2 linked regions of the Macaca fascicularis genome follow. The protein of the gene in region 1 binds, or shares a complex with, the protein of each later gene. Links are inferred from orthologs where the notes say so. Each region holds a gene or a part of one and is shown on either strand. Other genes may lie near its edges.

Region 1 (15,634 bases):
GGAGCTTGCAGTGAGCTGAGATCCGGCCACTGCACTCCAGCTTGGGCGACAGAGCGAGACTCCGTCTCAAAAAAAAAAAAAAAAATTAGCTGGGCGTAGGCCGGGCATGGTGGCTCACGCCTGTAATCTCAACACTTTGGTAGGCTGAGGCAGGCGGATCATCTGAGGTCAGGAGTTTTGAGACCAGCCTGACCAACATGGAGAAACCTCGTCTCTACTGAAAATACAAAATTAGCTGGGTGTGGTGGTGCATGCCTGTAATCCCAGCTACTCAGGAGGCTAAGGCAGGAGAATCGCTTGAACCCGAGAGGCGGAGGTTGCAGTGAGCCGAGATCGTGCCACTGAACTCCAGCCTGGGCAACAAGAGCAAAACTCCATCGCAAAAAATAAATAAATAAATAAAAATAAATTTAGCTGGTCGTGGTGATAGTCCCATCTACTTGGGGAGCTAAAGCGGGAGAACTGCCTGAGTCCAGGAGTCAAGTACACAGCGAGCCAAGACTGTGGCACTGCACTCCACCCTGGGTGACAAAGTGAGACTCTGTCTCAGAAAAAAAAAGGGGGGGTAGGGATGAAAAAGATAAGCTACAGACCAATGCAAACCAAAAATCCCATAAAGCAATCTCAAAACAACTCTCAGAACTCAACAGAAAAAACAATCCAATCAGAAAAGGGTGAAAGACAGGGATATTCCACTGCAGGGGAACACGGGAGGTGTCCATCACTGGGAAACGCAAATGAAAAACCACCGTGAGGCATCACGACACACCTGTCGGAACGGCTGAAGTAAAAACACGACACCACCAAGTGCTGCGGAGGATTCGGGGAAACTGACTGTCCTAGGTTGCTGGTGAGGACGTAAGAGTTTGATGGTTTAAAAAACGAAACATGCAACAACCCTATGGCCAAGCATTTACACTCCTGGAAAACTAATCTTTACACAGAAACCTGTACATCAACAGTCGTAGCAGCTTTATTTGGAATAGCCCCAAACTGGAAACATCCCAGGTGTCCTTCACGGGACCAATGTGTACACCACGCAATACCACTCAGCAACAAAAAGGAGCAAACTGTGAACACACACATGCAACGCTGGATGATCTCCGAGGACACCGAGTGAAAAAGACAATCCCACCAGGCGCGGCGGCTCACGCCTGTAATCCCAGCACTCTGGGAGGCTGAGGCAGGAGGATCACGAGGTCAGGAGATCGAGACCATCCTGGCTAACACGGTGAAACCCCGTCTCTACTAAAAATACAAAAAACTAGCCGGGCGAGGTGGCGGCACCTGTAGTCCCAGCTGCTCGGGAGGCTGAGGCAGGAGTATGGCGGGAACCCGGGAGGCGGAGCTTGCAGTGAGCTGAGATCGCGCCACTGCACTCCAGCCTGGGCGACAGAGCCAGACTCTGTCTCAAAAAAAAAAAAAAGACAATCCCAAGTGCTTACACACTATGCTCCCATTTATACAACATTCTTGACATGACAAAATAAGAGACGGAACGATTAGTGGTTGCCAGGAGTTAGGGGTGGCGGGAAGGGAGATCCTTGTGGGGATGGGATTTCTTTATCGTGATTGCAGTGGTAGTTACACAGATGTACATATGACACATGATTTGGGACTGTCCACCCACACTGCACCAGTGTCAAAGTTTTGCTTGGAATACTGCATTACAATCACGTAAGATGTAACCACTGAGGGAAACCAGATGAAGGCTGCATGAGGCCCTTATCTTTACAACTTCCTATATTCTGAAATTAGTTCAAAATATAAAGTTAGGAAAAAAGAAAGCAACAGCTCTAAGTGCAGCATGACATCCTGGATTGGCTGCTACAGCAGAAAAAGGACATTGGGGAAAAATGGCAAAATCCAAATAAACTCTAATAGTACGATTGCACCAATGTTAATTTTTTAGTTTTGTTAAATGTACCAAGGTTATATGTAAGATGTTAACATTAAGGGAACCTCGGTGAAAGGTGTATGAACCTCTTCTGTGAATCTGGGCATGGTGGCTCACGCCTATAACCTCAACACTTTGGGAGGCCGAGGCAGGAGGATGGCTTGAGCCTAGGAGTTCGAGACTAGCCCAGGCAACATAATGAGACCCTAGCTCTACAAAAGATTAAGAGAATTAGCTGGGTGTGGTGGTGCATACCTGCAGTCCCAGCTACTCAGGAGGTTGAGGTGGCAGGATGGCCTGAACCAGGGAGGTCGAGGCTGCAGCAAGCTGTAATCACACCACTGCACTCCAGTCTGGGTGACAGAGCAAGATCTTGTCTCAAAAAATAAAAATAAAAAATAAAATAAATAAAAAATTGCAAACTCTGATGCCCAGACTCTGATTAAATCACAAGCTTTGGTGGCAGGTCCAGGTATTTTTAATACCAGGTGATTCTGATGTGCAGCCAAGGTTAAGAATCACTGTTCTTAGCTCACGCCTGTAATCCCAGCACTTTAGGAGGCCAAGGCGGGCAGATCACCTGAGGTCAGTTCGAGATCAGCCTGGCCAACATGGTGAAACCCTGTCTCTACTAAAAATACAAAACTTAGCCGGGTGTGGTGGTGGACACCTGTAATCCCAGCTACTCAGGGGGCTGAAACAGGAGAATGGCTTGAACCTGGGAGGTGGAGGTTGCAGTGGGCCAAGATCGCACCACTGCACTCCAGCCTGGGCAAGAGAGTGAGACTCCGTCTCAAACAAACAAAAAAATACTGTTCTGGAGACAGGATTTTAATGCATCTGTTTCCAAACCGGGCTTGCTCTCACAGTTGACTCCTTGAGGACAATTTCTAAGCAAGCATACCACTGTTCTTTTGACCTTCAGTCCCATTTTTAAGGGTCCAAATTCCTTTGAGAAAAGTTCCAGAAATCCTCCTCCCTCCCTACCCAATCTATGATCCTGTGTCCTTGTGATGCCCATTTCCACACAGCTGAAGAACTACGGAAGGAAAATGTAGTAAATTAGAAGAAAAAGACAAATGCCTTCCAGTTCCCACTTCTCTAAAACCCCATAGCTAGGAACAGAAACAAACGAAAAGACTTGAAATGTTCTAGAGATGTAATAAAAACTGATTTTTTTTTTTAAAGAGGATCCACCTGGTTCCTAAAGCCTCCCTCGCTGCTCTCTGCACATCACACCACACAGCACCTGCGGGGAGGCCGTGGAGAGGTGTGGAGCAGGTGCAACAGGCAGCTACGCTCCCGGGGCCACACAGCGGAGAGAGGATTCGATGCAGCATGACGATCCCTTCCTCCCAGGCGTGACCTCTTCTCAGAACACAGGAACTGACAACGCTGTGAGTGGCAACTCAGCAGGTGGGCAGAGAAGCAGAAAGGAGCCCTCAGCACCACTAGGCCAGCTCTCAGGGTCAGAAGAGCAGCCTCCAGGGACGGTGCAGGGCTACAGGGACAGCCTTCGGGCAGTGGAGCTTCTGGTTTGGCACATGGGAAAGGCTGGGGCACATGCTCTGAAACATGACACCGTTAGGGAAGCCAGAAAGGACGCCATGGACAAGGCCATCGATTTGAACCCCCAGCCAAAATGGGTGCACTTGGCCTGCTCGAAAAGTGCTGCCAGCAGCGATAGGTTGGCAAATTAAAAGCAAACGAGTACAGGTCACGGCCACATAAAGGCAGTAACTGCACTCACAAGGTGGCTCGGCCCGAAGAGGTCTGAATCTGAATACGCCACACGGTCCCAGCCTCGGGGGAGAAGGGGAAGGCTGGGCCCTGGGGACTAGAGATGATGGCATTCCTTTCGTTCCTTCCTGACGCGGGCCTGGAGGGCTGTGCCCTGGTGACTCCTGTCTCCTAAAGGAGGGCAGGACCGGCTGAAGGATCCAGGCACTGATGTCTAGTTCTGAGGACACCCAGGACCCGCATCTACAAGGGCCATCTAAAACGTGGCCTGGAGGGGATGGGGGCAGGCGGGCACGAAGCTTCTGCTCAGCTCACTCCAGCTCCCCACGTGCTCATCTGTTCCCCAGATCTGGGGCTGCCTAGTGAGCAGTTAGACACCTGGGTTCCGCCCGGGGCTGCCTTCCACCGGGATGCCGGGCCTGCTGTGGCTGGACCCTACAGAAGACAAGGGAAGGAAAATTCACATCAAAGCTGGTAAAGGGACCTGCCAAAACCAAGTGCCAAATCCTCTGTGGACAGGAAGGGGCAGCTAAGACGGGGGCTTCAGGAGGCCTTGGGAGGTATCAGAGCAGAGCCGGGAGCGATCGGTTAGCAGATGGTCAGCCAACAGATGCCTTCCCTGGGACATGGGGGAAGCTGGGGCTGTGGATTTCTGGCCCCAGGGGGTCCCAGGTCATTATACTGAACAAGAGGCACCTTCCCGGGACAATACAGCACCCCGTGCTGGAAGGAAGCACCATTTTCCACAGTGGAAGAGTCTCGTGACCCCTCCTGTCTTCCAGAAGAATGGAAGGGAGCGCCCACCCCGCACCCCTGGAGAAAAAAGGCCCCCAGCCTGGGGAGCCGAGGGCTCTGCTCCTCCCACAGCTGAAGGGCCAGGAGAGGAAAGTGAAGGGGCAGGGAGAGGGAAGATATTTACCTTGGGTGTGCTCTGAAAACAAAAAACGCGCACTAGTCCACAGTCATTTATCAACTGCAGTTTCCAACTGTGCCAAAGAGGGAAAGGTCTACTGGGAAGGCTAAAGAGAGCAGAGAGAGAAAGAAGAGGAGAAGCTATTGAGCAGAAATGGCTGTGCCTCTTGGCTCCGGGCAGCACCATGGAGAGGGCTGATGCCCCAAGCAGGGGAAGCCAAGGGGGAGCCGGCAGCCGCAGTGCTGGCGCTGCACTGCCCCACAGCCTGGCTCAGGACGGCCGGCTGAGGAAGCCGGGAGCACAGCATGGAGGGCTGCACAGCATGGGGGCCGCCTTTCCCTCGGCCATACAGTTCCATGGAGAACTGACGCGGAGGACCTACCCTCGGCGACAACAGTTCCACGGAGAACTGACGCGGAGGACCTACCCTCGACGATACAGTTCCACGGAGAACTGATGCGGAGGACCTACCCAGGGTTTGAAATGGTAGGCCAGGGGTCAGACAACTCTTTCTGTAAAAGGCCGATATTTCTAGTTTTTGTAGGTTATATGGTCTCTGTCACAGCTACTCAGCTCCACTGCTGTAACTCAAAGGCAGCCACAGCAATCCACAAACCGATGTGTGGGTTCTCACAAAACTTCATTCTCAAAAATAGGCTGCTGGCCAGATGTGACCCTTGCACCATTTGCCAAACCCTGCTGTAGGCAATTTAAAATTATTGTGTCTTCCAAGTCTCAAAAAAGGCACTTCTCTGTTGGGCGTCTAGTGCCAAGGTCCCCAGAAACTGGTTCTCATCTGCACGATTTAAGCAGCACCCCACCGAAATCTCCAGGTGTGCAGCGGCCCTACGCTCCTCCGGACAGTGAAGTGCCAAGCTCACAGGACAAAACGCAGGACAAGCCGAGTTCAGGCAAGAAACAGAAAGAGAAGGTCAGCCTCACTGGAGCAACTGTCAGGTTGTACTTGGGTGAAAATAACCAACATTGTGTCTAGAGAATAATAATCCATTACCAAGAGGAAATGCCCCACAAAGCCACTATAAACTCTTCTCTTACAGGACGGCCCCGTGAAGATTTTTTAAAAATCTCTGGGTATATATGATGCAATGACGGGAAAAGCACTATTCTGGGATTAGGTCTGTATCTTCGATACAACATGTGCAGTCTGGGTGGCAGTGAGCCAGAAAGGCTCACGTGGGAAAACCAAAACCAAAAGGCTCACATTGTGAAAAGCACACCGCCCTGGCCTCTGAGACTCCAGTGTGATGGGACAGTATGAACTTCAGTAGAAGGGGCACCCCATACAATAAGAAACCATCACCATGGGTCAAGCTTCAGCAACCCTAGAAGGTGGGGCACTAGCTGCTCATCCAGCTCCTTCGGAGGCTGAGGCAGGAGGATCACCTGAGTCCCCAGTATGAGGCCAGCCTGGGCAACATGGCAAGATCTTATCTCTGAACAGAAGGTGCGGCACCATCCTTAGAGGGATCTCTTTAGAAAGAGATGCAGCCCATCCTCAGATCCAAGACTGAAGCAGCACGGCCTCCCCTGCTGCCTTTTTGCCAGCACCTGGATCTGGAGCCCCCAGGGGCTAAGGCATCCACGTGGCCCAGGGTGGGATTTCCCTCCCCTGCACGTCACCTCACAATTCAGAAAGGACTATTAGAAAAACATGTTTGTGCTCTCAAGTGTGGGTCTGAGTAGCCAGAGCGGCTCCATGGGAGGCCTACAGGAAGCAGGTCAGAGTGCCTGGGCCTTCTCTCTGGCTCTCCTTCCTGCCCTGTAGAACGGGCAGAAGAGCTAGCGCCCCTCCGGCCACAGGGAGGTTAGCAGAGTCAGACATGGAAGCTCCTAGCGCAGTGCCCTGGCGGGGGAAGCGTTGGTAAGAGCTTATCTTCCTCACGGTGGGGCAGGTGGGGGTGGGAGGAAGCAAGCCCGTAGCTCCCTCCACAGCCTCTCCGGAAGCCCCACCGGCTCTTCCAGGAACCTCACGTTCAGGCAGATCTGACCCCAGCGTTAGGAACGCAATCAGAATTAAAGTATCTTCAGGCCGGGCGCGGTGGCTCAAGCCTGTAATCCCAGCACTTTGGGAGGCCGAGACGGGCGGATCACGAGGTCAGGAGATCGAGACCATCCTGGCGAACACGGTGAAACCCCATCTCTACTAAAAAAATACAAAAAACTAGCCGGGCGAGGCGGCGGGCGCCTGTAGTCCTAGCTACTCGGGAGGCTGAGGCAGGAGAATGGTGTAAACCCGGGGGGCGGAGCTTGCAGTGAGCTGAGATCCGGCCACTGCACTCCAGCCTGGGCGACAGAGCCAGACTCCGTCTCAAAAAAAAAAATAAATAAATAAAGTATCTTCTCGAAAAACAAGAACAAGAAACCCTTCACCACTCCTACCCACAGCCTACACTTCAGACTCTTTCACCTCCCTCCTTGCAGTGGGGGGATGGGGTTTCACATCCCACAACCTCTAGTTCCATTTGCAAAATTTCTTCCAACACAATCTTCCCGCTCGCAGTGGAGCCCTGGATGGGCCACGCTTAAATATTAGTATGAACTGGCCAAACTCCTCACAAATGTCCTTCTAGTGTCTAGGATGGTGTCTGCCAGCCACACACCCTCTAAGCCAGGGCCACTGCTGACTCCAAGTGACCTAAGCTTAATCTTAAATGGCCAAAAGAGTGTCTGAACTAAAACTTATTCCCACTTCCCAACAATTCTCTGATTAAGTCAATCCATTCTAAGAGATCCTTGAGAGAAAATATTGACTTACTATACTCTACTTTAAATACCAGTTAGTCTATAGTTTGGCGTCATCCATGCTATTAAAAATAGCAAGAAGTTCAAGTTGAATAATGAAGAATTAAAAAAAAAAAAAAAGCAAGAAGGGGGTTGGGCACAGTGGCTCATGCCTATAATCCCAGCACTTTGGGAAGCTGAGGCAGGTGGATCATCTGAGGTCACGAGTTCAAGACCAGCCTGGCCAACATGGTGAAACCCCATCTCTACTAAAAATACAAAAATTGGCCAGGCATGGTGGCTCACGCCTGTAATCCCAGCTACTCAGGAGTCTGAGACAGGAGAATTGCTTGAACCCAGGAGCCAGAGGTTGCAGTGAGCCGAGATCACACCGTCGTACTCCAGCCTGGGCAACAGAGCAACAGAGTAAGACTCCATCTCAAAAAAAAAAAAAAAAGAAAAACAAGAAGGGAAAAGGATGCGGAGAAAAGAGAGAAAAAAGACAGAGGGCAGGGTGGGGCGGCGAAAGTGCAAGTCTGTGTGTGTGAGCTCACGGCCCTTGGGTCCAGACACCGCGCACAGTGTGCCACTCGGCGCTCACCTGCCGCTGTGGTGGTCTTCTCACCAAGGAGCCTGGTCTGGCTGCCTGGCATAACCTGCAGGTCGGTGTTCTCAGGGGACTGTGGCAGGTTCTGAGCTCGGGTAGCCAGGAGTGCGTTGAGGTACTGCAGCCGCGTAACCTGGAGGATGACAGTGTTACTGGCAGACCCCACTGGTGAAGCGAGACGCAGAAGGTAGGCAAGAAAGGTCACGCCATGCCAGAAGAGGGCAGAGGCACAAGTTTAAGCGAGTTAAGGGAAGAGCAACTGAGTCAAGTGTTTTTAAGATCTCGCAGGGAAACTGGGTGCAAAGGTCTGTGTCCCTCAGGATGAGCGGAAGGCCCTGCTCCGGGCCGTCTCAGACCAGCTGATCTAGCCCCCAGTGACACAAAGTCGGCTAAAGTCAGCACGCACGAGCAGCCCAGGCAGTCACCTTGATGAGCTGCAGGTCGGAGAGCGCCCTCACGGTGTAGTCGGGACAATACGCAGATGAACGCGTGCCGTCACCTGGGTCGGGCTGCAGGTCATGGCGGATGGGCTGGAGCGAGGACACCGGGGACTGGTGAACTATCGAAGGAACAATCAGTGATGGCAGAAGCCAGTGCTGGCAGCTGGGAGCCCCCTCCCCTGGAGGGGACAACTGCACAGCTTCGAAGAGCCACCCCACCAATCGCCCTGGAGAGGCGATGTGCCTGGGAAGCAGGGAGAGGAGAATGAGCACAGGCAGGAGAGGGTTTGCAGGGGTGGAGCGAGCCGCAAAGTCGAGCGAGGAAGAATGCTGCCCTCCCGCCCGGAAGCCCAGGGGCCACACCACCTCGTGGGGCGGTGGGCTCAGGTGGAAGGAAGGCGAGGAGGGGCACTGAGGGCCCAAGCGACAATGGGAGACAGGCTCTGCAGCCTCAACCCTGACCCTCAGCACCAGCAGGGCCACGGCTTACCTGAGGATGGCACGGTTAGCGCCGACACTCCATAGTACGTGAAGGCCCCATTCTCGAACTTCAGACCCTCCTTCCCGATCTCCACTTCAACCCTGCCCTGGGAGGAGTGGCAAGGAGAGAAACAGGTGCGGCCAGATCACCTTTCCCGTCAGAAGACAGCGGAAGGAGAAACCCACCACCTCAACTGTTCGGGGCGGGAGGGTGCGTATCTGCACGCCCCTGCTCCCCTCTTCTCCTAGACCCTGCCCTGGCCTGAGGAGGCAGGAGGGGCTCCAGGCCTGGACGCACAGCTACCTGCAGGATGAGAATGAAGTAATCCACCGGCTGGCTGCGCTGGTAGAGGTAGTGGTGCGCGGCCAGGCGGTTGCTCTCGTCAAACCTCACTTCCTGGTTGACGCTGGGATGCTTCAGCAGGTGCAGCAGGACCTTCTCCGAGACGCGCAGTGGGCTGAACACATCCACTTCTGCCCGGAGGGAAAAGGGACAGTGTCCACTGGGGCCTAGTGGCCGGTGGAACCACACCCAACGCTGCAGGCAACTTAAAAGTTATTCTGCCCCGCAGGGCTCTCCTGGGTGGCCTGTCAGCAGCTGCCCCCACACCTCAACACAAGAGAATTGGGCAGGGGCCAGGTGCGGTGGCTCACGCCTGCAATCCCAGCACTTCGGGAGGCTGAGGCAGGTGGATCACCTGCGGTCAGAAGTTCGAGACCAGCCTGACCAACATGGCAAAATCCAGCCTCTACTAAAAATACAAAAATGAGCCGGGCGTGGTGATGCACGCCTGTAAGCCCAGCTACCTGGGAGGCTGAGGCAGGAGAATCGCTTGAACCCGGGAGGCGGAGGTTGCGGTGAGCCAAGATCGTGCCACTGCACTGCAGCCTGGCTGACAGAGCGAGACCCTGTCTTTTTTAAAAAAAAAAAAAAAAAAGAACTGGGCAGGGCACCCCACACCCGCGCAGCTGAGAGCTGAGGCCCCTGGCTGTGGCGCACCAGGTGTGGCGCTGGCCTGGCCCAGCTGTTGGTTGTCTGGCAGAGAGGAGCTGTCTCTCCCATGACCCAGGATGCTGGCAGGGCTGCAGAGAACACACAAGTCCTCAAGACGCGCCGCTTGCTAGGAGCGGGGAGCAGAGTCAGTGTCGGCCCTGGGCGGCCTCCTGACCCACAGGACGGTGAAGAGAGCAGGGGGCGCGGACCACCCTCCCGCCTCACCTCGGGACAGGAAGCGCTGGGTGGCCAAGAGCAGCTGAGGCGAGATTTTTACTTTATATTCATCATCAGACCCCTTGAACAAGGAGAACTCCTCCTTCCGCTTGAGAGGGGCCATCAGAGAAGCAGGCTTCCTCCTCACCACAGTGTCTCCTAAGATGGAAGAAGAGGGCGCGCTCAGGCATCAGCCACCTGTCAGTCAACACCACCACACCAAGGGACTGCATTGCCTGCTCCTTCCTACTGAGGCCAGGGGGTCCTCGACGGAGCAGCATCAGAGCCCCAGGGACATGTCTTCAGCACCACTCCCTCCACGGGGCCTGCTCCCACCCCAACCACACAGAGCGAGGGGTGGCTCCCTGCCTTGGAGCTGGCTGAAGAGAACGCTGATATGATAACAAAGCAGCTCTTATAAAACAACAGGCATCCCTGATAGGTCACTGGACGTGGACTCAATTTTATTTTAATTTAGGCCAGATGTAGTGATTCACACCTGTAACCCCAGCACTTCAGGAGGCCGAGGCGGGAGGATCACTTAAGGCCAGAAGTTCACCACCAGCCTGGCAACAGGGAGACCGTGTCGTTACAAAAAATAAAATAATTAGACAGGTGTGGTGGCATGCGCCTGCAGTCCCAACTGCTCAGGAGGCTGCGGTGGGAGGAAAGCTCGAGCCTGGGAAGTTGAGGCTGCAGTGAGCCATGACTGCACCACTGCACTCCAGCCTAGATGACAGAGCAAGACCATCTCAAAAAAAAAAAAAAATTAAAAATTAAAAAATAGTAACAGGCCTCTCTGGCCACTGAGAAACTTCTCACTAGAAAGCATGTATTCAAGGATGACCAGTGCAAAAGGGCCGCAATTAACCTGGAGACCCCAGGCCTGTGGCAGTCTCAGGAATGGAACCAGAAATGCTATGTTTGAAAATTGACACGAGTAAAGCAGTATTTCTGGAAGCATGCGGGACAGGGGGCCCGGCCATGAAGCGCAGGCTCTGTGCAGCTCTGCAGACCTCAGCCACCAACCTAACAGGCAGACACTTTTACCACGAAATCAAGGGCCCGGGATCAGCTGCTTTGGGAAGACTTATTTCCACCCCCTCCCAGTGTCTCAGCCTGGAGTACAGTGGCATGATCTCGACTCACTGCAACCTCTGCCTCCTGGGTTCAAGCGATTCTTCTGCCTCAGCCTCCTGAGTATCTGGGACTACAGGCATACGCCACCACGCCCAGCTAATGTTTGTATTTTTAGTAGAGACAGAGTTTCACCATATTGGCCAGGCTGGTCTTGAACTCCCAACCTCGTGATCTGCCCGCCTCGGCCTCCCAAAGAGCTGGGATTACAGGCGTGAGCCACTGCGTCCAGCCGGGAAGACTTTCTTCATGGCAAAGAATGGGTTCTTTCAGAGGACATTTCTGTAATGTACAAAAGAACCTGCAAAAACAAAAGCACCTCGGGAGACAGAAGGCTGGGAAAGGCCCATGAAGGGCAGAGCTCTCTCAGTAATGGAGGAATCTAACAGGACTGCTGCTAACGGAGCCCCAGGCGAGCCCTCCTGCAAGGCGGCTCCCTGCCAGCGCCCAGGCAGGGCTGAGAAGGGGCCTGGCTGTGGATCTTGCTGGGTTTCAGCAGCACAGAGGCCCACTGGCCTCGGACGCAACATACACCTGGGGAAGTGCGCGGGCCCAGCGGAGACGTAACTGCCAAGAGTCTGGACTCACGGTAGTCTTCAGACTCGTCCAGGATCTCGGACCTGATGATCTCCTCGATCACGTCCTCCAGGGTGACCAGGCCCAGGACCTCGTAGAAGGGGTCGCCCTCACCCTCGTTGTTCACCTTCTGCACGATGGCCAGGTGGGACTTCCCTGTGGGCGGAGGACACTCATGGAACAGCTTGCTGGGCCCCCGCATTTTGATTCATCTCCCTCGGGGCCCACCAAAAGGACGTGGCTAATGTTCATGTTCCTACAGCGGGTCAGGCACAGAGCCCGACTCTTTTCTAGGTTTTTACTTAAGACACCCAGCATGACTATGAGGACTGGCCTTATTTTCACACGGGTTGAAAATGAAGCCCTGGGCTCATGCTTGCTCATCTGCACAGGCCCCCCAGGCAGAGGTGGCCGAGCTGGGATCCAGCTCCAGGTCTGCGCACCTCCATGCCATGGATGCAGTTCAGACAAGCATCCAGTCGAGAACACATGCGCCTCACACAGCAGCCAGCCTGCATATGCAGGCTAACAAGGGCATGACTCCGGAAACGCAGGCTCTCCTGCGGCAGTCCACACGGGGCGGCTGAGTGAGGCCACCCAGCCTGACTCTCCTCGGGAGGTTTTCCTAATTCTTTTTTTTTTTTTTTTTTTTTTTACAGTAAATATATATGCTGTCCATCCTATGTAAATGTGAACTCCTTCTTGTCCTTATGATAGAAATGAAAAAGAGATAGAAAGATAGATAGACTGTGTGTATGTGTGTGCGTGTGTGTGTCTGTGTATCTTTTCGTTTTCCTAATTCTTAGAGCTGCCCATTAGGGTCTGTGAACCAGGGGATGAGACGCGTGGCAGCTGACCACTCAGGAGTCAAGCTGTGCAGGGGGAGGCACCAGGCTGATCTTCCGCCTCACCCTGTCTTTCTTTCTCAGGTTAGCTTCCTGTTTGGTTTGTCTGCTTAGTGAGGGAATGTAAACTTGGAAAAAAGCCCAAGTCTCACAGTGTTGGGGAATGCTGGGGAGGCTTCAGGAATTTACTGTGTCAGGTAAGTGCTTTTCATCCACACTACTTTAGACCCGTCTGAAAAAACCAGAACGCAAGCCACCTAAGTAATTTAAAATCTGAACGGCTGCGTTAGAAAAGTCAAAACAAACACACAAAATTAAGTTTTATATTGTAAGTAACCCAATATAGTCAAAACAGCATTTCAACATGTCATCAATCCAAAAAATAAACACAGACGTTTCGTCTATTTTGCACTCTCTGAATCTGGTGTGTTTTATGCTCACAGCACATCTCAACTCAGACTCCACCTTTAGGTACCACAGCCCCAGGTGGAGGGGGCTGCCGGCCTGCGCTGCACAGGGCCAGCACAGGGGATGGGAGCAAGTCATCCAGCCAGGCCCTCCTTTGTCACTAACGGAAACACTGAGGGAAACTGGCCTGGACCTGCCTGTGAGGGGGACCTGCTTCAAGACTCTCTTGGGAAATCAAAAAGTCAAGTTCACGTTGTGTGGATCATACTTTACATCCCGTGAGCTTGATTTAAAAAAGCACAGTTCTCCAGGATGCTTGCATTCCCCTGGACAAAAAGCTGGAAATGGCCACACGAGTCATCTCCCCGCTTTCCAGGAGGAAAGGCTAGGGCCCCTGGAGATGGCCACTCAGCCCTCTGAACCGCATTTCTAGACACCTTCTAACCCTCGGTGCTTGTGCTGGGTGCCGTCTCTGCGTGGGCCACGGCTGCCCCGCCAGAGTACAAACCTGTCAGGCCAGGCCAGGAAGGCCACGCGCGACTTGTGGTTTTGGTTAATGCCTCGGATTCCAGCACCAAAGCCCAGGATCTAAACAGCCACCTCAGCGCAGAGAGGCCTCATCTCGACTCCCTTCTCCCAGGAAGCCAGCCCCTGTGACAGGTTTCCTGCAGAGAGGGACTCACTCCTTTGCTTTCAGACTTCTCGAGAACAAGGCACACGACTCTCCATTTCCCTCTAAAACAAGGCACACGACTCTCCATTTCCTGCCACACTGGGATGACTCTACCACGAACAGAAGAAAGCAGGCCCTGGAAGATCCCCCGGAACAGTGGTTGTGTGACTGAATCCCAAGAAGAACGTCTGGGGGGTCTAGATGGCAGCCAAAGATGGCAGCAGGGGGACAGAGCAAGGGCAGCAGGAGGGACTCAAGGTCACCTCTCATGTGCTGAGCCACCAGAGTAGAACCACTCACACCAACGCCGGCCTGCAGGCCAGCTCCACGGGGCCACACACACCGACGTCCGCCCACGGGCCAGCTCCACGGGGCCACGCACACCGACGCTCGCCCACGGGCCAGCTCCACGGGGCCACGCACACCGACGCCCGCCAGCTCCACGGGGCCACGCACACCAACGCCCGCCCGCGGGCCAGCTCCACGGGGCCACGCACACCGACGGCCGCCCGGGGGCCAGCTCCACGGGGCCACGCACACCGACACCCGCCAGCTCCACGGGGCCACGCACACCGACGCCCGCCCGTAGGCCAGCTCCACGGGGCCACGCACACCGACGCCCACCCGCGGGCCAGCTCCACGGGGCCACGAGCAGCTGTGACAGTGTGTCTTGCCAACATCAAGCAGAAAGTCCTGGAAAAGCTTCAAGTGTAATTTTAGTTAGCAGGCTCCAGGGTATCCCAATTATTTCAATGCCAAAGTACCCTTTCATAACGCCCAATTTCTATGATGTTAATAACAGCTGGAGTGTAAGTTCATCCACCCTCTCTCTTCTGTTTTCTAAAGCACCTGGGTGAATGAATGAATACTGTGAGAAAGACAAAAGTAGCGTGCTGACACTCCTCACGCTGTCGGAGCTGCTCAGACTCTTTTCAGCATCCTGGCAATCATCTGGCTCCTGACAGGAAACCAGAGCTCGGTTCCTTTAAAGCAGAGACTGCGGCCGAGCACGGTGGCGCACACCTGTAATCCCATCTCTTTGGGAGGCTGAGCTGGGAGGATCACTTGAGGCCAGGAGTTCGAGACCAGCCTGGGCAACAGAGGGAGACCCCAATCACTACATAAAATTAAAAATTAGCTGGGTATGGTGGTGCTCACCTGTGGCCCCAGCTTACTCAGGAGGCTGAGGTGGGAGGATTGCTTGAGTCCAGGAGGCAGAGGCTACAGTGAGCCACGATCACATCACTGCACTCGAACTCGGGTGACAGAGCAAGACTCTGTCTCAAAAATAATAATAACAACGTTCTTGGCCAGGCGCGGTGGCTCACGCCTGTAATCCCAGCACTTTGGGAGGCCGAGGTGGGCAGATCACAAGGTCAAGAGATAGAGACTGTCCTGGCCAACATGGTGAAACTCTGTCTCTACTAAAAACACAAAAAAATTAGCTGGGCATGGTGGTGTGCGCCTGTAGTCCCAGCTACTCAGGAGGCTGAAGCAGGAGAATCACTTGAACCCAGGAAGCAGAGGTTGCAGTGAGCCGAGATTGTGCCACTGCACTCCAGCCTGGCAATAGAGCAAGACTCCATCTCAAAATAATAATAATAATAATAGTAACAATAATGTTCTTTTTTTTTTTTTTTTTTTTTTTAAGACGGAGTCTCGCTCTGTCACCCAGGCTGGAGTGCAGTGGCCGGATCTCAGCTCACTGCAAGCTCCGCCTCCCGGGTTCATGCCATTCTCTTGCCTCAGCCTCCCAAGTAGCTGGGACTACAGGCGCCTGCCACCTCACCCGGCTAGTTTTTTTTTTTTTTGTATTTTTTTTAGTAGAGACGGGGTTTCACCATGTTAGCCAGGATGGTCTCGATCTCCTGACCTCGTGATCCGCCCGTCTCGGCCTCCCAAAGTGCTGGGATTACAGGCTTGAGCCACCGCGTCTGGCCAATAACGTTCTTTTGTACATTAAGGT
Region 2 (16,306 bases), on another chromosome or scaffold:
CCTACCTTTGTTTGTCCCTCTACTGTTCCATTTACCAAACTAATATTGAATAATCTAGCTCCTTGAAACTTAGATTTAAATTAATATTAGTTTCCCTCCCTACTCACAACTACTACAGTCCTAGGAAGTTGATAAAGAGGTATCAATTCAATTCTACACAAATTAGAATCCAAAATGTCAGTGAATAAGCCAAAAACAAGATGCTTTTTTACTGTTAAAAAATATTTTTTGGCCGGGTGCGGTGGCTCATGCCGGTAATCCCAGCACTCTGGAAGGCCAAGATGGGTGGATCACCTGAGGTCAGGAGTTCGAGACGAGCCTAGCCAACATGGCAAAACCCTGTCTCTACTAAAAATACAAAAATTAGCCAGGCGTGGCAGGTGCCTGTAGTCCCAGCTCAGGAGGCTGAGAAAGAAGAATTGCTTGAATCCGGGAGACAGAGGTTGCAGTGAGCCAAGACCACGCCACTGTACTCCAGCCTGGGTGACACAGCAAAACTTCGTCTCAAAAAGAAAAAAAAAAATTTCATAGTTACTCCCTTGGTTATTCCCACTTTTCCACTTCCTCATTTAAGGAGGGAACTCGAGACTCAAGTTCCAGTACAGAAATCAATAATCAGTTCTATAAAAAGAAATCATGACCTTGATGGTGGGAAAATGTCTTAACATTTCAAAACCAGTAGAAGATACATGGCCAGCCACTCAGAAAGATAAGGGAAGCAATTAGTCAACAATCGCACCTGCTTCTGAGAACAGTGACAGTTATTCACTGAAGTCCTGTGGGCCCTGTTCCCACCAAAATGAAAAGGGAGTGGTTTTTAGATGTGCATGTACCCTAGTGATTAACAGTTGTACTTTTCTAGTAATTTTTACCTCTACAAATAACTAAAAGACAAAAATTGCATTAAATATTTTCAGGCCACACTTAAAAATATTTATTGTACTCCATTTTTCCTCTAAAGATTTGCAATTCTCAAAACGAATCTCTTGTCCCAAAATGGTATTTTTCCTTTCATAAATAAAATTTAAATGCAGGTTACCACCACTATGGCCAACGCTGACTTTCTCTTTAAAAAGTATTTGAATAGCACTGGTAATAACATTTAAAAATCCTAACGGCACAATCCTAATATTGAGTATTAATCTAATTGTTTTCAGTTAATCTTTTAAAAATTACATTAAATAGTTCTACTAAATGGATTCTATTCATCAATACTTTTGTGATAAAAGTATCATGGCTATCTTTTCTACGGGGTTTATGTTTAAAGACTTTATGTGCATTTTAAGGCTCCCAAGCCCCTTTAATATAAAGTTTAAACACATTCTTTTCCTAAATAACTTTGGTAGCCTTCTTAAGGATAGGAACTATCTCCAATTCAGTTGCTTCCCCAAAAAGTTAAATCCTAACATTTCTTTTCTTTCCTCCTCCCATCCTTCTTTCTTTAATCTCAAAAGGCTAATTTTCCCAGAGAACAACTTAAGTCTTAATTATTTTAATTTAGTTTCCAACATCACTATACATACATTAACCCAAGAACCACTGAATCAATAATTTCATTAATAATTTAAGATTCTGAACTTCAATTGTAATAAAGCAAATTCAGTAGTAAAAATCCAAAAAAACACCTGGATTCAGCCTGTCAACACCACATTGAAATGTTTTCTGAGTTATATCAGGACAGTTAGAATGACTGTAACAGCTGCAAGTTCCCTGAGGTTGCAAAATAGATACTTGGGAAAGGTTATTTGAATCACCTTTCAAAATAACCTACAGCACAGGAGTAGCATGCAAAGTAAAAACTTTCAGGCTACTGCTCACATTATTTCAAATATACTATATCTCAGAACTTAGTAGTCTATGGGTCAACTTAACTCTTTTCATTTCCCCATTTTGTCAAATGTACTGGGCATATTTAAAGGTCCTGTTCCAGCATTAACCCCCAAAGAGAGGGAGGGAAACTCTCTATGGACAAGACACAGAATAAAAACATCCCAAAATACATCTTGTCAGCATCAATTATTTTGTTTGAGCCCCAGAAATGTTTCTGCTGCTCAGGCACTCTGGTCCAAGTTTCCCCTATAACTGGGTAAGTTACACTTCACTTCCTCTCCTAAATTTGCTTTTTATAAATTACATTATAGTTCACAGACATATGTTTGTGTACTGGGTATAATACAAGATAAACAGTCAAGAATCCAAATCATTCTATTTGAAGCTGCTGGTGGCCTTTTAAAATGTACTGTCTATCCACTAATTGTCCAATAATGGCATACTTTCACAAAACACAGTAACATTACGATCTTTAAAAACCACACAGTGAAAGTAAATATTTCATACTACATATTAACGTGAAATAAAAATGGTGAAATAACTCTATAATGCCATGTCAAGGAGTTATTCTTTACTCACTAGCTTAGTTCAACATGGATTCACCTTCCTTTTCTTTCTAATTAAAGAAAGTAAAATTCAATCTTTCTCGTCCTCTTCCTCCAAATGTTTACTGAGACGAGGGACAATATGTCACCTCTGAATTATACCAAAATGCAGCACAGCCAATCTTCGAACAAGCATTTGCAGAGACGTGTGTACATCATACAAACACTATCCAGGATCAAGCTCCTAGAAGAATCAACGTGGGTGTAAAACGCTTGATTGGTATTAAGTTTTCATATTAACACCATATATTTTAAAGATACAAAGTAAGCATGAGAAGAATGGAATAGGATTAAGGGTTCTGAAGAAAGGTAAAACTTTTATAATAGAAAACTGGTAAAAACAGTGAAGAACCATGGTAGTGTGACATGAGAAAGGCTTAGTCTTTGGTTAGATAACTCTGGAGAAGCCTTGACCAGGCTGAGAATTTCAGACCAATTTAAATGCAATAAAAGCTCTTAGGAATTTAAAAGCAGAATAGTGGTAAAAAAAGCAACTCTTTGCTCACTGAGACAGAGAGCAAATATTGCCGTATTTATGGGCCTCCTCTGATCTACTGAGCAAGCAGCTCCATAATCACCAAAAAGCTTAACAAAAATATTCTTTCAACTTACTAAATCGTAGTCAACAGATAATGAGTTTAACTAAATTCTACCCGTTGATGACCTCCAAATGAAGACCCCCATCTAAAAAAAAAAAATGAGAATACAGTCTGTGACTTATATTTAAAGTACTTTTCACCCAGAAAGACCAAATTTGCATAACTTAAACTAATCCACCAAAAGGAAACTTGTTTGTAACCACACATGTGGAATGAAAATAATGTCAGTAGAATCTATTGTTTCTCCATCATATCCTTCTCTAGTTGCTGACAAATCCTGCTGGTGACTCATATCCTTCTGCACTAACCAGTCTCTCCGTTCCCTAATGAAAGGCTTTTCACCAATAATGGAAAATACAATACATAACTATTTGTTCTGCTACTAAAAACAAATACAAATATGTGTACATAAATCCAATTTACAAATACTGTGGTGATACAACCTAGTGAATGTTTCCTGTAAAACAGTGGGGAAAATAAAAAGATGGTCAAATTTAAACAAAAACTAAAGGACAACTGGAAGAAAACAGACCTGATCGTGAATCTGAATTCCTGTCAAACAATACATTTAGTTAACAGCCAACATATCTGACCACTGCAGAAATAAAAATATAAAGTAATTTATCTGATCTGCTAAAACAAAAATATCCTGTGTATATTTTATGCCAAAAGAATTAAAGTTTTGAGAAGAATAAAATTTCAAATAAAAAATACTATGAGAGAAATTAAATACACCACTTCTCTAAAGGTAAAGACTGTTCTAATGTTCAAAATATTTTTTCAAACCAGGCTCAACTAGCAAAAAAAGGGTCACGAAAAAGCCTAATCTTAAAATTCTCAACAATTTAAAAAGCCAACATTGTGTAATGTAAATTTATATTCAAATGATGAAATTTAGTGTCTAGGCCACTTAAAATGAAGTGGATGCTGTGTTAATGTAACCTGTGGGCAAGAAAATCAGTACAGGCAAACAAAAACCATCTATATTCAAGTCACATAAAAATATCCGTATAGTGGCTCACGCCTGTAATCCCAGTACTTTGGGAGGCCGAGACAGGCAGATCACAAGGTCAGGAGATCGAGACCTTCCTGGCTAACATGGTGAAACCCTGTCTCTACTAAAAATACAAAAAAACTAGCCGGGCATAGTGGCGGGCGCCTATAGTCCCAGCTACTCGGGAGGCTGAGGCAGGAGAATGGCGTGAACCTGGGAGGCGGAGCTTGCAGTGAGCCGAAATCGCGCCACCTCACTCCAGCCTGGGCAACTGAGCAAGACTCCGTTTCAAAAAAAAAGTAAAAAATATATATATATATATCCGTATAATCTGTCGACTCCTCACAGTCATTTTTCTGGGATAGATTTCGGAGTCCTGTAAATCTACACTGACTGAACAAACAGTGCAGGAAAGGAGTCATTCTCTCACCTGAGTCCTGGTAACTCCACAATGGGGAATTGTGGAAAGCAGACAGACAGCATTGCTGTGCAGCTTCTTTCATGGAGGTGCTAGGGTAGTGACAGTTTCTGGTTGAGCCTAGACCTCTACCACTCCAAAGAGCAAAAAGATTTTCACACAATAGGTACCTCATCTCTACACTAAACAACCTAAAAGGCTTCAAGTGCTGAGACAGTGGCCAGGGAGTCAAGGGAGCCCATAGAATAGAATTCAGCCAATAAAGGATAATGAGATAAAGCTAACTGACACCTCTATACGTAGTAATAGTCCAAAAGATGAAAATGGCGAAAAGATTTTTTCTTTTTTTTTGAGACAGGGTCTCCCTCTGTCTCCCAGGCTAGACTACAGTGGTGCAATCTCGGCTCACTTCAGCCTTGACCTCCCAGGCTCCAGTGATCCTTTCAACTTTAGCCTCCCAAGTAGCTGGAACTACAGGCTCATGCCACTATGCCTGGCTAGTTTTTGTATTTTTTGTAGAGATGGTGTCTCTATGTCGCCCAGGCTGGTCTCGAACTCCTGGCCTCAAGTGATCCTCCTGTGTCTGCCTCCCAAAATGAGCCACTGTGCCTAGCCAAGACTTTTCTAATATTTCACAGATTAAGAGACTCAAATCACCATCTCCCAAAGTAATTATAACTGGTGGCATCCATTGTTCAACAGAGATTTAAGAACTTTAAGCCCCTAAAAGGAAAAAAAAAAAATTATTCGCTGCTCTCTATTGATAATCTTTAACCTAGATTCTAAAACCTGGGATTTAATAATCAAATCCCGGTACTTTGGGAGGCCAAGGCAAGCAGCTCGCGCCTGAGCTCAGGGGTTCAAGACCAGCCTGGGTAACATAGCAAAACTGTCTCTACTAAAAATACAAAAATTAGCGAGGCATGGTGGCACACACCTATAATCCCAGCTGAAGCAGGACAATCGCTTGAACCTAGGAGGTGAAGGCTGCAGTGAGCTGAGGTCGCACCACTGCACTCCAGCCGGGGCAACAGAGTAAGACTCTGAAAAAAAAAAACAACAACAATCAATCTATAAATAAATGTCCTTATCTGTAAAGCTAACAGAATACTACTTACAGGATTATTGAATTTTAAATGAGACAATACATGATTTGGCATAAGAAGGGAATGTGGAAACCTAAACCCTAAAAGTGTAATACTGAACTCTACCAGTACCCCAAGATCTCTACCATCACCCTATTCAATAAACATAACTAAGTCCACCATGTTAAAACTAGATTCCATCTTCTATTCAACAAATACAGCTGATGGACTAGCACCCAAATAAATTAACCAAACTTAGTTTCAGAAAAACTTAAGCTTCATTCTTCCAAGACCAAGAGCAACAGCTAAAAACGTATGCATCTGCTCCCTCTGCATCTTGTTTGTAAATACATTAGTTTTCTAGGCTTCACTGGTTACCAACCCCCACATTACAACAAAAAGGAAAAAGTATATTCAAATCCTGTAAAATAAATCCCTACTAAATTTCAACTTTGTGTCTGAAAATTGTAAAGTGTTCCTTAATTACTGCATAAGGAAATACTACCTTTATTGGACAAAATGAATAAAGTTAATTCTTAAGAAAGATAAATCCAATTTACCTTGTTTGAAATTTTTTTTCAAGTCAACTATATATGGGGCTCTCATACTATGTTTTTTCAAAGCTACACACAAAAGTATTCAAACATTTACTCTTCCTAGTGCTACAAAGTTCAATGATGTTGTAAATGGTTTCTGCCTATAAATTTGGTTTGTTCAAATTAAATATTACTTGACTGACTCACAGAGGGAGTGGCCTGACTTTTGCTGTTCTGAGTCAGAAAATACCCCGTTCAGCAGTTCGAAACTATTTCTCATCTATAAAGGTGTTCGAAAACGCCAGCCTTTTCCAGCTACAAAATCTGTTGCCTTAGTAGAAAGATCTTAGTGGCAATAATACTTCAAATCTGTAGTTCAATTTATAATTAACAAAATGCTTTCACATGTATATTCTCACTTCTTCTGATTTAAGTGTCCCACACAGCTCAACAGAGAAACTTTCATACAGTGGTTAAGCTCTAGTTCACTCTTGGCCCCAATAAATATATTCTCTTTTTTCCAAAAAATAAAACATAAAAGGCTGTTGCATTTCTTTAATCAGACTTCCCTCACGCAGACATATCCCAGATGCCTCATAAAAACTGTCTCAAAGCACACACCCAGAGCCCGAAGAGAGTTTCAAGGCAGCATCTCCTCCCACATAAAAGCCTAGCTTAGGCCCCAAAGAGCCTCCAGTCAGCATCTCCTAAATGATCCCCTTGCCTCCAGCCTTCTCTATTAGTTTCAACAGCTCTCCTAAGTACAAGCTGCTAGGTCATCATGTGGATGAGAAACCTCAATGTAAGATGAGCTATTGAAACAGCAGTATGATGTATTGGAAAAATCAACAGCTTTGGAGTCAAAGACCTGGATTTTTAATCCAGCACTAATTCTTATTATCTGTGTGACCTGGGACAAGTTACTTAACCTTTTAAGTTTCTGTATCTCTTCTTCTCACCACTGTAAATCCATGGGAGCTCATCGCTGTATCCCTAGTGCCGGGCAAACAGAAGTGGTTCAAAATAAGCCAAATGGATGCAAATGAAGAGACCACCTTTCTTGTAGTTGTGAGAATTAAATGAATATAAAAAGCACCTGTAGCACAGTAGGCAATTAACACTAATTAATTCCTTCCCTCACTGAATAGTAACAATACTATTTACTATTTCTTTCTTATTTTTTTGAGAGAGGGTCTCACTGGCTCACTACAGCCTTGACTTCCTGAAATCACAAGTTCCTCTCGCCTCAGCCTCCAGGATAGCTGGAACTACAGGCACATACTACCATGCCTAACTTTTGTATTTTCTGTAGAAATGGAGTCACCACGTTGCCCAGGCTGGTCTTGAACTCCTGGGCTCAATCGATCCTCCTGCCTCAGCCTCCCAAAGTGCTAGGATTACAGGCGTGAGCCACCGCGCCCAGCCGAAAAATATAAATTCTAACTTTTAATTACACATCAATGATTTTGCCTGTAATTCTATTATGTTCACGATCAAAAGGACCACCCTCGCGCCTGTTAATCCCAGCACTTTGGGAGGCCAAGGCAGGTGAATCAGTGGCGGTCAGGAGTTCGAGACCAGCCTGGCCAACAAGGTGAAACCCCGTCTCTACTAAAACTATGAAAATTAGCTGGGTGTGGTGGCGCACACTTGTATTCTCAGCTACTTGGGAGGCTGAGGCGGGAGATTACTTGAACCTGGGAAGCCTGGGCAACAGAGCAAAACTCCATCTCAAAAAAAAAACAACAACAACAAAAGGACCATACTACTTTTTGCTTATACTGAAAGACTACCAACTTCTAAGAGACAATTATTTTTAAGATAACATCATTTTTAATATTATATCAAAGTGTAAAATCCCTATCGAGGTACTACTCTTCATCAAGAATCCCTACTTTTACAACTCAAGAATGGGAAAAGTCCATGACAATAATTAGTCCATTCATTATGAAACTTAAAAATGCCAAGATCAGAATACCAGCAAACAACTTCTCACCATCTTCACCAATACAATGGTGTGCTGGCAAGTGATTCTGAAGCCCTGATAATGTGTCATTCTGCATCCTTAATTTCCTTTTGCACATTCGGCAAGGCATAACTTCACTCACTTCCCTCTGAAACTACTCTGTTACAGAGCATGACAGCAAGTACCATATTCCAACTCAGCAGTGGTTGTAGTTTGGTGACTCCAGACAAACATTTGCTGAATGCCTACAGTGACACTAGAACTGCGGGTCACTGCTAATTTCTTGACAAATTCCAGGAAATAATAAACTAGCCTATAGTTTAATTTACCTAACAATAAAATACTCTTCACCTGAAAAACTAGCAGTACTTTACAAAAGTTTATGCTCCTGAACACTCTACAGGCCAGAGTGTAGGCTCTTGGGCAACAGACAAACTTCTTTTCGTTAGCTCTCAGGGACCCAGACTAGGATAGGATGGCATCCTTGACAAATTTGAAAATTTACTTTGAAGTTATGAAACGTGGGAGAAAAAAAACGTATAGAACAACAACAAAAAAAACACATCACATCTTTTCTGGGGGGGAAAAAAATTAAAATCCCAGAGCCAGAAGATCATAGTGCCACTAGAAGAGACTTATACCCCCTTTCCTCATACTTGAACCTGAGCACCCAGGGACAAGATGCTCCCGGAAAGAACTCCCTAACCCAACACAGCACGGTTCACTATCGCCACACACAAAGACGAAGAGGAAGGGCCTCCAGGATGCCTGCTCACACACTGGACACACGCCGGCACACCCTGCCACACTCCCGCCTCTGCCACGCACCTTCTCACCGACACACACCATGTTCTCCCCCTACACTCGCTCTCTACCACACTCTCAACTCTCTCCTCCCCCACTTCTCATTCATGTACCCCCACCCCTCATGCCCACACGCTCCCCGCACACTCATACCCTCCCCCGCCTGCACCCACACTCCCCCAACATCGACACTGTCCCCCGACCCGCTCCCACTCCCCCCACCTCCTCGCACACTCAGCCCTGTCCCCCACTCACACGCCCTCCCTTCACCAACTCACACTCTCCCCCACGCTCGCACAGCTCTCCCCCTTCCACACACACGAGCCCGCCCCTCGCTCACCCACCCTCGCTCCCCCGCCCCGGCCCAGCCCGGCCCTCCTTCCGGGGACGTGTCTCCGGCCTGTACTAATGGCTGCAGCGCCTCCCGCCCTCCCCTTCCCCGAGGCCCCCGGCGCCGGCGCGGGGGCCGCCCGGGAGGGGCGCACTCACGCTGGCGAGCTGGGGACTGGGCATTGAAGTCCGGCGGCGGCGGGAGCGAGGAGGCGCCTCTCTCCTCAGTCACCTCGGCGGCGGCGGCGGCGGCGGTAGCGGTGGCGGCGGCGGCGACGACTCCCCCCCAGCCTCGGCGCGCGACACCCGGCCCGGCCCGGCGGCGGCGGCGGCGGCGCGTCTCCACGAGTCCGTCTTGCTGCTGCTGCTGCGGTCGCCGCTGCGTCTCCTGCTGCCGCCGCTGCCCCCGCTGCCGCCGCTGCCCTGTGGCGTCGCCTCGCGCCGTGCCCGGCCGCCGCTGCCGCTCCAGCCGCTCCCGGACGGACGACGGTTACAGCCCGGCCGATCGCGCCGCCGCCACCACCGCTGCGCGCGCAGCCGGAACCAGCTCCCGCCGCCGCCGCCGCCCCTCAGGGGTCGCTGCGGGGCGCGGCTCAATGGGCAGCTGACCCGCCCTCCGCGTTCGCTGACTGGCTGGCCGGCCGGCTCGCGGGCGGTTGGGCCCGCCCACCTGCCCCGCGGGGCTCTGACCCACTGCCCTGGGCACCTCCCCCGCTCCTCCTCCTGGTGGTTCGTTCTGCTCCGCACTCCCGGCTACGGAAGGCGAGTCCATGTGACCGGGGAGGGAAAAGCAGAACGTGGCCTGGGGAGTCGTTCGCCCACGCTGCGCCCCGCCCATCCGCACCTGGGCTGGGTCGAGGGCCTGCAGCCGAGGTGTGACCCGCAAGGTCGAAGGGTTCTTTCTCGCTCCTAGGCCGTCAGGCCTGGGGTCAGATCCTGATGGGACAGGGTGGCCACCAAGTCCTGTGCTTGGGGATTTCCAACTCAGAAGTGGGAACCCGGGCAGCTCAGTTCTTGGCTGCCCTTCCTGAGGCCCCAAATAAATGGCGTGTGCATCTTCGTGGAGGATATTAATACGCCACCCCCGGCTCTGCCCACAAGACACACACACATCCTAAGAACTGTCCCTGACAAGCCAAAATTCAGACTTTCAGGATGTAGGATCTTGGGCAAGTGATTCCCTCTCTCCAAGTATTATCAACTATAAAGTGAAAATAATAATCAGCAACCTCATGGGCGCTTTCACGATCGATAATAACGTATGAAAACGCTTGAGAAAGGCCGGGCGCGGTGGCTCATGCCTGTAATCCCAGCACTTTGGGAGGCCGAGGCGGGCGGATCACTAGGTCAGGAGTTCGAGACAAGCCTGGCCAACATAGTGGAACCCTATCTCTACCAAAAATACAAAATTAGCCGGGCATAGTGGTGCGCGCCTGTAATCCCAGCTACTCGGGAGGTTGAGGCAGGAGAATCGCTTGAACCCAGGAGGTGGAGGTTGCAGTGAGCAAAGGTCACGCCACTGCACTCCAACCTGGGCGACAGAGCCGGACTCCGTCTCAAAAAAAAAAAAAGGAAAACAAAACGCTTGAGAAAGAGGAGACCCTGAATTTCAAGGTTTCCGACTTAATGTCACCTTTAACGACGCAGATTATCATAGAGATTCTCAAGTGGAAAGGTTTTTGCCTCTTGCATTTGGAAGCTAGCCAGAAATTCTTTGCCAGATCATGCGTCCTGAGTTTTGGTTTGGAAAATGTGGTCACTAGCGAGCTGGGAGGCTGGTTTGGGCCACGGCCAGATGACAGGCAAAGTGCGGCATTGGGGGCTGGCTTGGGAGGAAGGGAGATGTCTCCCCCTGAGAATTGCGGGTTGGGGAGGGTCTGTTCTTTCTGTCCACTCCTGGGAAGTCTTGCCTGCCCAGAACTGGCTCCTATCTAGGAAGAAATGAAGATGCCCCCGTGGGTGTTTCTCCCCTACCTCACCACCACATCCATGCTCATCCAGCCCTGCGGGGAGAAGCAGTAATCTGTCATCATTAGACCTTCCCCACAAGGTAGACTTGGGGCATTGCTACTGACCAGAAGGCTTCCATTAGAGCTTAGCAGTAAAATGAAAGGTCTTATGACTCAGCCGCATCAAGCCACAGAGCAGAGTCCAGGATGTTCACCACCAGCAGGTGGCCCAGGAGGGGGTATTCTAGGGCAAAGCTGGTTAGCAGGGCTGTGTGGGAGTTGAGAGAGGCCTTGAGGAGCAAGAGGGGCTGCAGATCAGTAGCAAGGCCCCTGGGTGAGGAGCACAGACTGGGCTCACTTGCATTCTGTCTGCCTCCAGCAAGCAGTATTTTCTACTTCCTGGAAACACAGACTGATTTGAAACAAAGAGCTACCTCCTCTGCAAAACTTTTGCTGCGTCTATGAGTTATTGATTCTTCCGATAAAGTTGCAAAACACCTTGTGCAATCCTCTACCATAGCACTTAACATAATACTGTAATTGCCTGTTTTCAGACTCTCCCCCGCTTAGATGGATCTATTTGGGGCAGTCTAGCAGATTGTTTGCTTGTTTGTTTTCATCTAGTAGATTGTTTGACCAAGTAAATGACACTCCCCTCCACCTAGCTCTCCTTCTGGCCCTGAAATAAAATAGTGTAATAACAACATTAACAACATAAGGATAAGAATAATGGCCCCAATAATAGTTACGTTTACCCCCTTTTTTTTTTTTTTTGAGACAGAATCTCACTCTGTCACCCAGGCTGGAGTGCAGTAGTGCGATCTCGGCTCACTGCAAGCTCCACCTCCTGGGTTTACACCATTCTCCTGCCTCAGCCTCCCGAGTGGCTGGGACTACAGGCGCCCGCCACCACACCCGGCTAATTTTTTGTATTTTTAGTAGAGACGGGGTTTTACCGTGTTAGCCAGGATGGTCTCGATCTCCTGACCTCGTGATCAGTCTGCTCAGCCACCAAAAGTGCTGGGATTACAGGCGTGAGCCACTGCACCCAGCCTTTCTTTTTTTTTTTTTTTTAAGACAGGGTCTCACTTTGTCACCCAGGAGGGAATGCAATAGTGCAAACATGGCTCACTGCAGCCTCAACCTCCTAGGCTCAAGCAATCCTCCCACCTCAGCCTCCCAAGTAGGTGGGACCATGGGCCTATGCCACCATGCCCAGCTAATTATTTTTTTATTTTTGTAGAGATGGAGGTCTTGCCATGTTGCCTAGAACTCCTGGGTTCAAGCAATATTCCCACCTTGGCCTCCCAAAGTGTTGGGATTATAGGCATGAACCACTACACCCAGCCATTGTTACCTTTTATTAAGCATCTACTCTTTTCCAAGTCCTGACTGAAATGTTTTCAAATGTTATCAAGGCCCAACACAGTGGCTCATGCCTGTAATCCCAACACTTTGGGAGGCCGAGGCAGGTGGATCACCTGAGGTCAGGAGTTTGAGACCAGCCTGGCCAACATGGTAAAACCCCATCTCTACTAAAAATATAAAAATTAGCCCAGGGTAGTGGTAGGCGTCTATAATCCCAGGTACTCAGGAGGCTAAGGCAGGAGAATCACTTGAACCCAGAAGGCGGAGGTTGCAGTGAGGTGAGATCGCGCCACTTCACTCTAGCCTGGGCAACAAGAGCAAAACTCTATCTCAAAATAAATAAATAATAAAATAAAATCTATTATCAAGTTTATGATTCAAAATTACCCTATTAGGAAGGTACTATTACCCCCATTAAAAAAGAGAATCGGTCAGGCGTGGTGGCTCACACCTGTAATCCCAGCACTTTGGGAGGCCAAGGCAGGCGGATCACGAGGTCAGGAGTTTGAGACCAGCCTGGCCAACATAGTGAAAACCCATCTCTACTAAAAATACAAAAATTAGCCGGAAATGGTGGCACCCGCCTGTAGTCCCAGCTACGTGGGAGGTTGAGGCAGGAGAATCACTTGAACTTGGGAGGCAGAGGTTGTGGTGAACCGAGACACTGCATTCCAGCCTGGGCAACAGAGCCAGACTCTGTCTCAGAAAAAGAAGGCCAGCTGCAGTGGCTCATGCTTGTATCCCAGCACTTTGGGAGGCCAAGGCAGGTGGATCACGAGGTCAGGAGTTCGAGAACAGCCTGACCAACATGGTGAAACCTCGTTTCCACTAAAAATACAAAAATTAGCCAGGCGTGGTGGTGTGCACCTGTAAACGCAGCTACTTAGGAGGCTGAGGCAAGAGAATCACTTGAACCTGGGAGGCGGAGATTGCAGTGAGCCGAGCTGAGATCATGCCACTGCACTCCAGCCTGGGCAACAGAGTGAGACGCTGTCAAAAAAAAAAAAAAAGAAAGAAAGAAAGAAAGAAAGAAAGAAAGAAAGAAAGAAAGAAAGAAAGAAAGAAAGAAAGAAAGAAAGAAAGAAAGAAAGAAAGAAAGAAAGAAAGAAAGAAAGAAAGAAAAAAGGAACCAGAGGCTCAGAGAGACGAAATGACAGAAACAGGATTCAGCCCAGGTTTGTTTGCCTCTGAAGCCCAAATAATCATGATATTCGTTTCTGACTTCAGTCAATAACTGGTGTCCTCAGGATAAGCTGGAACCCCTTGTGAAATATCTGCCTCTGAGACAGAAAGGTCCTAAACCATGACACCACTGCCACATTCTCTTACCCCCTCTCCCCCCGACAGCAGAGAGATGCTCTCACCCCTGACATCCAAATGGCTTCCCACAGAGGCTGTAACGTGGTCTTACTCCCTCCACACCTCAAACAGATCAGAAACTGGGCTGCAGGTGCCTTATTACAGCAGGAACCACCCCTAGCAGTGAGTTTCACGCATAAGTGCTCTGAGTTTATCCAGTGCTTTTGCTGAAGCATTCCAAGTGCCATTCACTGATTAATCTTCCCAGTGCCCCTGTGGGGGCAAGCTGGCAGTACTCTTGGCTGATTTTACAGAGCGTTAGCTCCTTGAGAGCAGGAGCTATGTAGGCCCACTACACACAGGGGTTAGAAAAACAAGTAATGGTCTGCCGGGCACAGTGGCTTATGCCTGTAATCCCAGCACTTTGGGAGGCCAAGGCAGGCGGATCACCTGAGGCCAGGAGTTCAAGACCAGCTTGGCCAACATGGCGAAACCCCATCTCTGCTAAAAGTACAAAAAAAAATTCGCTGGGTGTGGTGGTGAACCCCTGTAATCCCAGCTACTCGGGAGGCTGAGTCGGAAGAATCGCTTGAACCGGGGAGTCAGAGGTTGCAGTGAGCTGAGATTGCACCATTGCACTCCAGCCTGGGTGACAGGCAAGACTCTGTCTCAAAAAAGAAAAGAAAAAAAGTCATGATCGTAATGGCCGGGCGCGGTGGCTCAAGCCTGTAATCCCAGCACTTTGGGAGGCTGAGACGGGCGGATCACGAGGTCAGGAGATCGAGACCATCCTTGCTAACCCGGTGAAACCCCGTCTCTACTAAAAAATACAAAAAAACTAGCCGGGCGAGGTGGCGGGTGCCTGTAGTCCCAGCTGCTTGGGAGGCTGAGGCAGGAGAATGGCGTGAACCCGGGAGGCGGAGCTTGCAGTGAGCGAGATCCGGCCACTGCACTGCAGCCTGGGCAACAGAGCGAGACTCCGTCTCAAAAAAAAAAAAAAAAAAAAAAAAAGTCATGATCCTGTGGCAAAGAAACTGAAGCCCTCGGAAAAGTGGTTTAGACAGAGGTTGGGAACAGGTGACTGGTTCCCACCCTGGGATTTTACACTAATTCATCTGGCATCTTTGCATTGCCATTTTGTTGTTGTGTACGTAGACTTGGGGAGTTATTTCATCTGCCTGAGTCTCTATTTCCCCATCTGTAAAATGGAAAAGGTAAACCTCAAAAAAAAAAGGTTTTTTAAGCCAGGCATGGTAGCTCACTCCTGTAATCCCAGCACTTTGAGAGGCGGAGGCGGGCGGATCACAAGTTTGGGAGTTCGAGACCAGCCTGGCCTATATGGTGAAACCCCGTCTCTACTAAAAATACAAAATTAGCTGGGCGTGGTGGCGCATGCCTGTAATCTCAGCTACTCGGGAGGCTGAGGGAGGCGAATTGCTTGAATCTGGGAGACAGAGGTTGCAGTGAGCCAAGTCGTGCCACTGCACTCCAGCCTGGGTGACAGACCGAGACTCCATCTCAAAAAAAAAAAAAAAAAGGTTTTTTGAGGACTAAAGGACTTAGTGTGTATAACTCATGTATTAAACACATGTTAAGTATTCAATAAATGTTAGCTAGTATTATTTAGGTTGGTACTTGGCACCATGCAATGAATAAATGAAAAGAGCCTTGATACCACCAGTTCTGCAGTTGATTTCAAAATTACGGTTTCTGCAACTTACCATTAGCTTTGTGACCTTGAACAGATGTTGTAACTTCACAAATGAACCTTTCTCTTCATCTATGAAATAGGATGATAGCTCTAAAATGAAGACCTTGAAAATACTTTGCTTTGTAAACTGTCAAGCACTATGCAGACATTAACTATGGTTTTAGAAAGAGCACAGGCCTTGCAATATGACTGTACAGGAATCCCTGCTCTGGCGCTTAAACTTCTCACCTCTAAAGTTTTCCTCATCTGTAATATGGGCATGGTGATCACATCTGTCTTGAAGTGTTGTGACAAATTAAGTGATTAAAGACAACATATTTAAAGTAAGCTGGCACAGTGGGAGGTGGTCCATAAATGTTACTTCCCTACCCCCTAACAAATAAGTCTTGCCTTTTAAAGACCTGAAACAAAGGAAGCAGCAGGATGTGATGGGAAATGTATGGAACCAATCGCTGAGTTGATTCCTGGCTCTGCCATTGTGTGGCCTTGAGGTTTCACAGCCTGTCTGAACCTTCAGGTTCCTTCCCTCTAACACTAAATAAAGTACGCCTCCATTGCAAAGTTCGCTCAATAAATAGGAACTACTAACAAACGCACAGACAGGCCTATGAAGCACTCTTATGGAAAAGACCCAGTTGAAAAGACCCAGTTGCAAGTAACAACCAAAATTTCCGAGCCCGAAACCAGATGGAGTCATGAGCTGCGAAATAAGCGACCCAGGCTCCACAAAGTTCAGACGAGCATGGGAGGTTTCAAGCCCCATGTCTGGACGCTGCCAGTGCACCGGCCAAGAGAAGGCAAGAGACGACTCA

The links.
Region 2: the proteins of CNNM3 (region 1) and PTP4A2 are in contact, whole or in part, in a crystal structure (PDB 5K25), measured with the Homo sapiens proteins. The link is inferred for Macaca fascicularis from reciprocal best matches to the Homo sapiens genes CNNM3 and PTP4A2. Residues at the interface, in NP_060093.3 of Homo sapiens: Leu390, His391, Phe392, Val393, Phe394, Asp396, Thr397, Glu405, Ala414, Gln417, Val419, Glu424, Gly425, Asp426, Pro427, Phe428, Tyr429; in NP_001356788.1 of Homo sapiens: Met1, Asn2, Arg3, Pro4, Asp69, Gly70, Cys101, Ala103, Leu105, Gly106, Arg107, Arg134, Arg135, Gly136, Ala137, Phe138, Asn139, Lys141, Gln142.

What each region holds. Positions count from the first base shown.
Region 1 is NC_088387.1:1,842,989-1,858,622, reverse strand, and holds the end of CNNM3 (metal transporter CNNM3), read right to left. Parts: intron 11,899-15,634; coding exon 11,701-11,898; intron 10,189-11,700; coding exon 10,039-10,188; intron 9,294-10,038; coding exon 9,124-9,293; intron 8,927-9,123; coding exon 8,830-8,926; intron 8,459-8,829; coding exon 8,325-8,458; intron 8,033-8,324; coding exon 7,894-8,032; intron 4,657-7,893; exon of another isoform or gene 4,557-4,656; intron 4,073-4,556; coding exon 4,008-4,072; 3' UTR 959-4,007; downstream 1-958. UniProt on the Homo sapiens protein: Probable metal transporter.
Region 2 is NC_088375.1:203,089,700-203,106,005, reverse strand, and holds the start of PTP4A2 (protein tyrosine phosphatase type IVA 2), read right to left. Parts: upstream 9,697-16,306; 5' UTR 9,351-9,696; coding exon of another isoform or gene 9,327-9,350; intron 9,145-9,326; exon of another isoform or gene 6,997-9,144; intron 5,490-6,996; coding exon of another isoform or gene 5,384-5,489; intron 4,539-5,383; exon of another isoform or gene 4,459-4,538; intron 3,114-4,458; exon of another isoform or gene 3,048-3,113; intron 1-3,047. Other genes in the region: uncharacterized protein, read right to left, coding at 5,384-5,489, 9,327-9,350.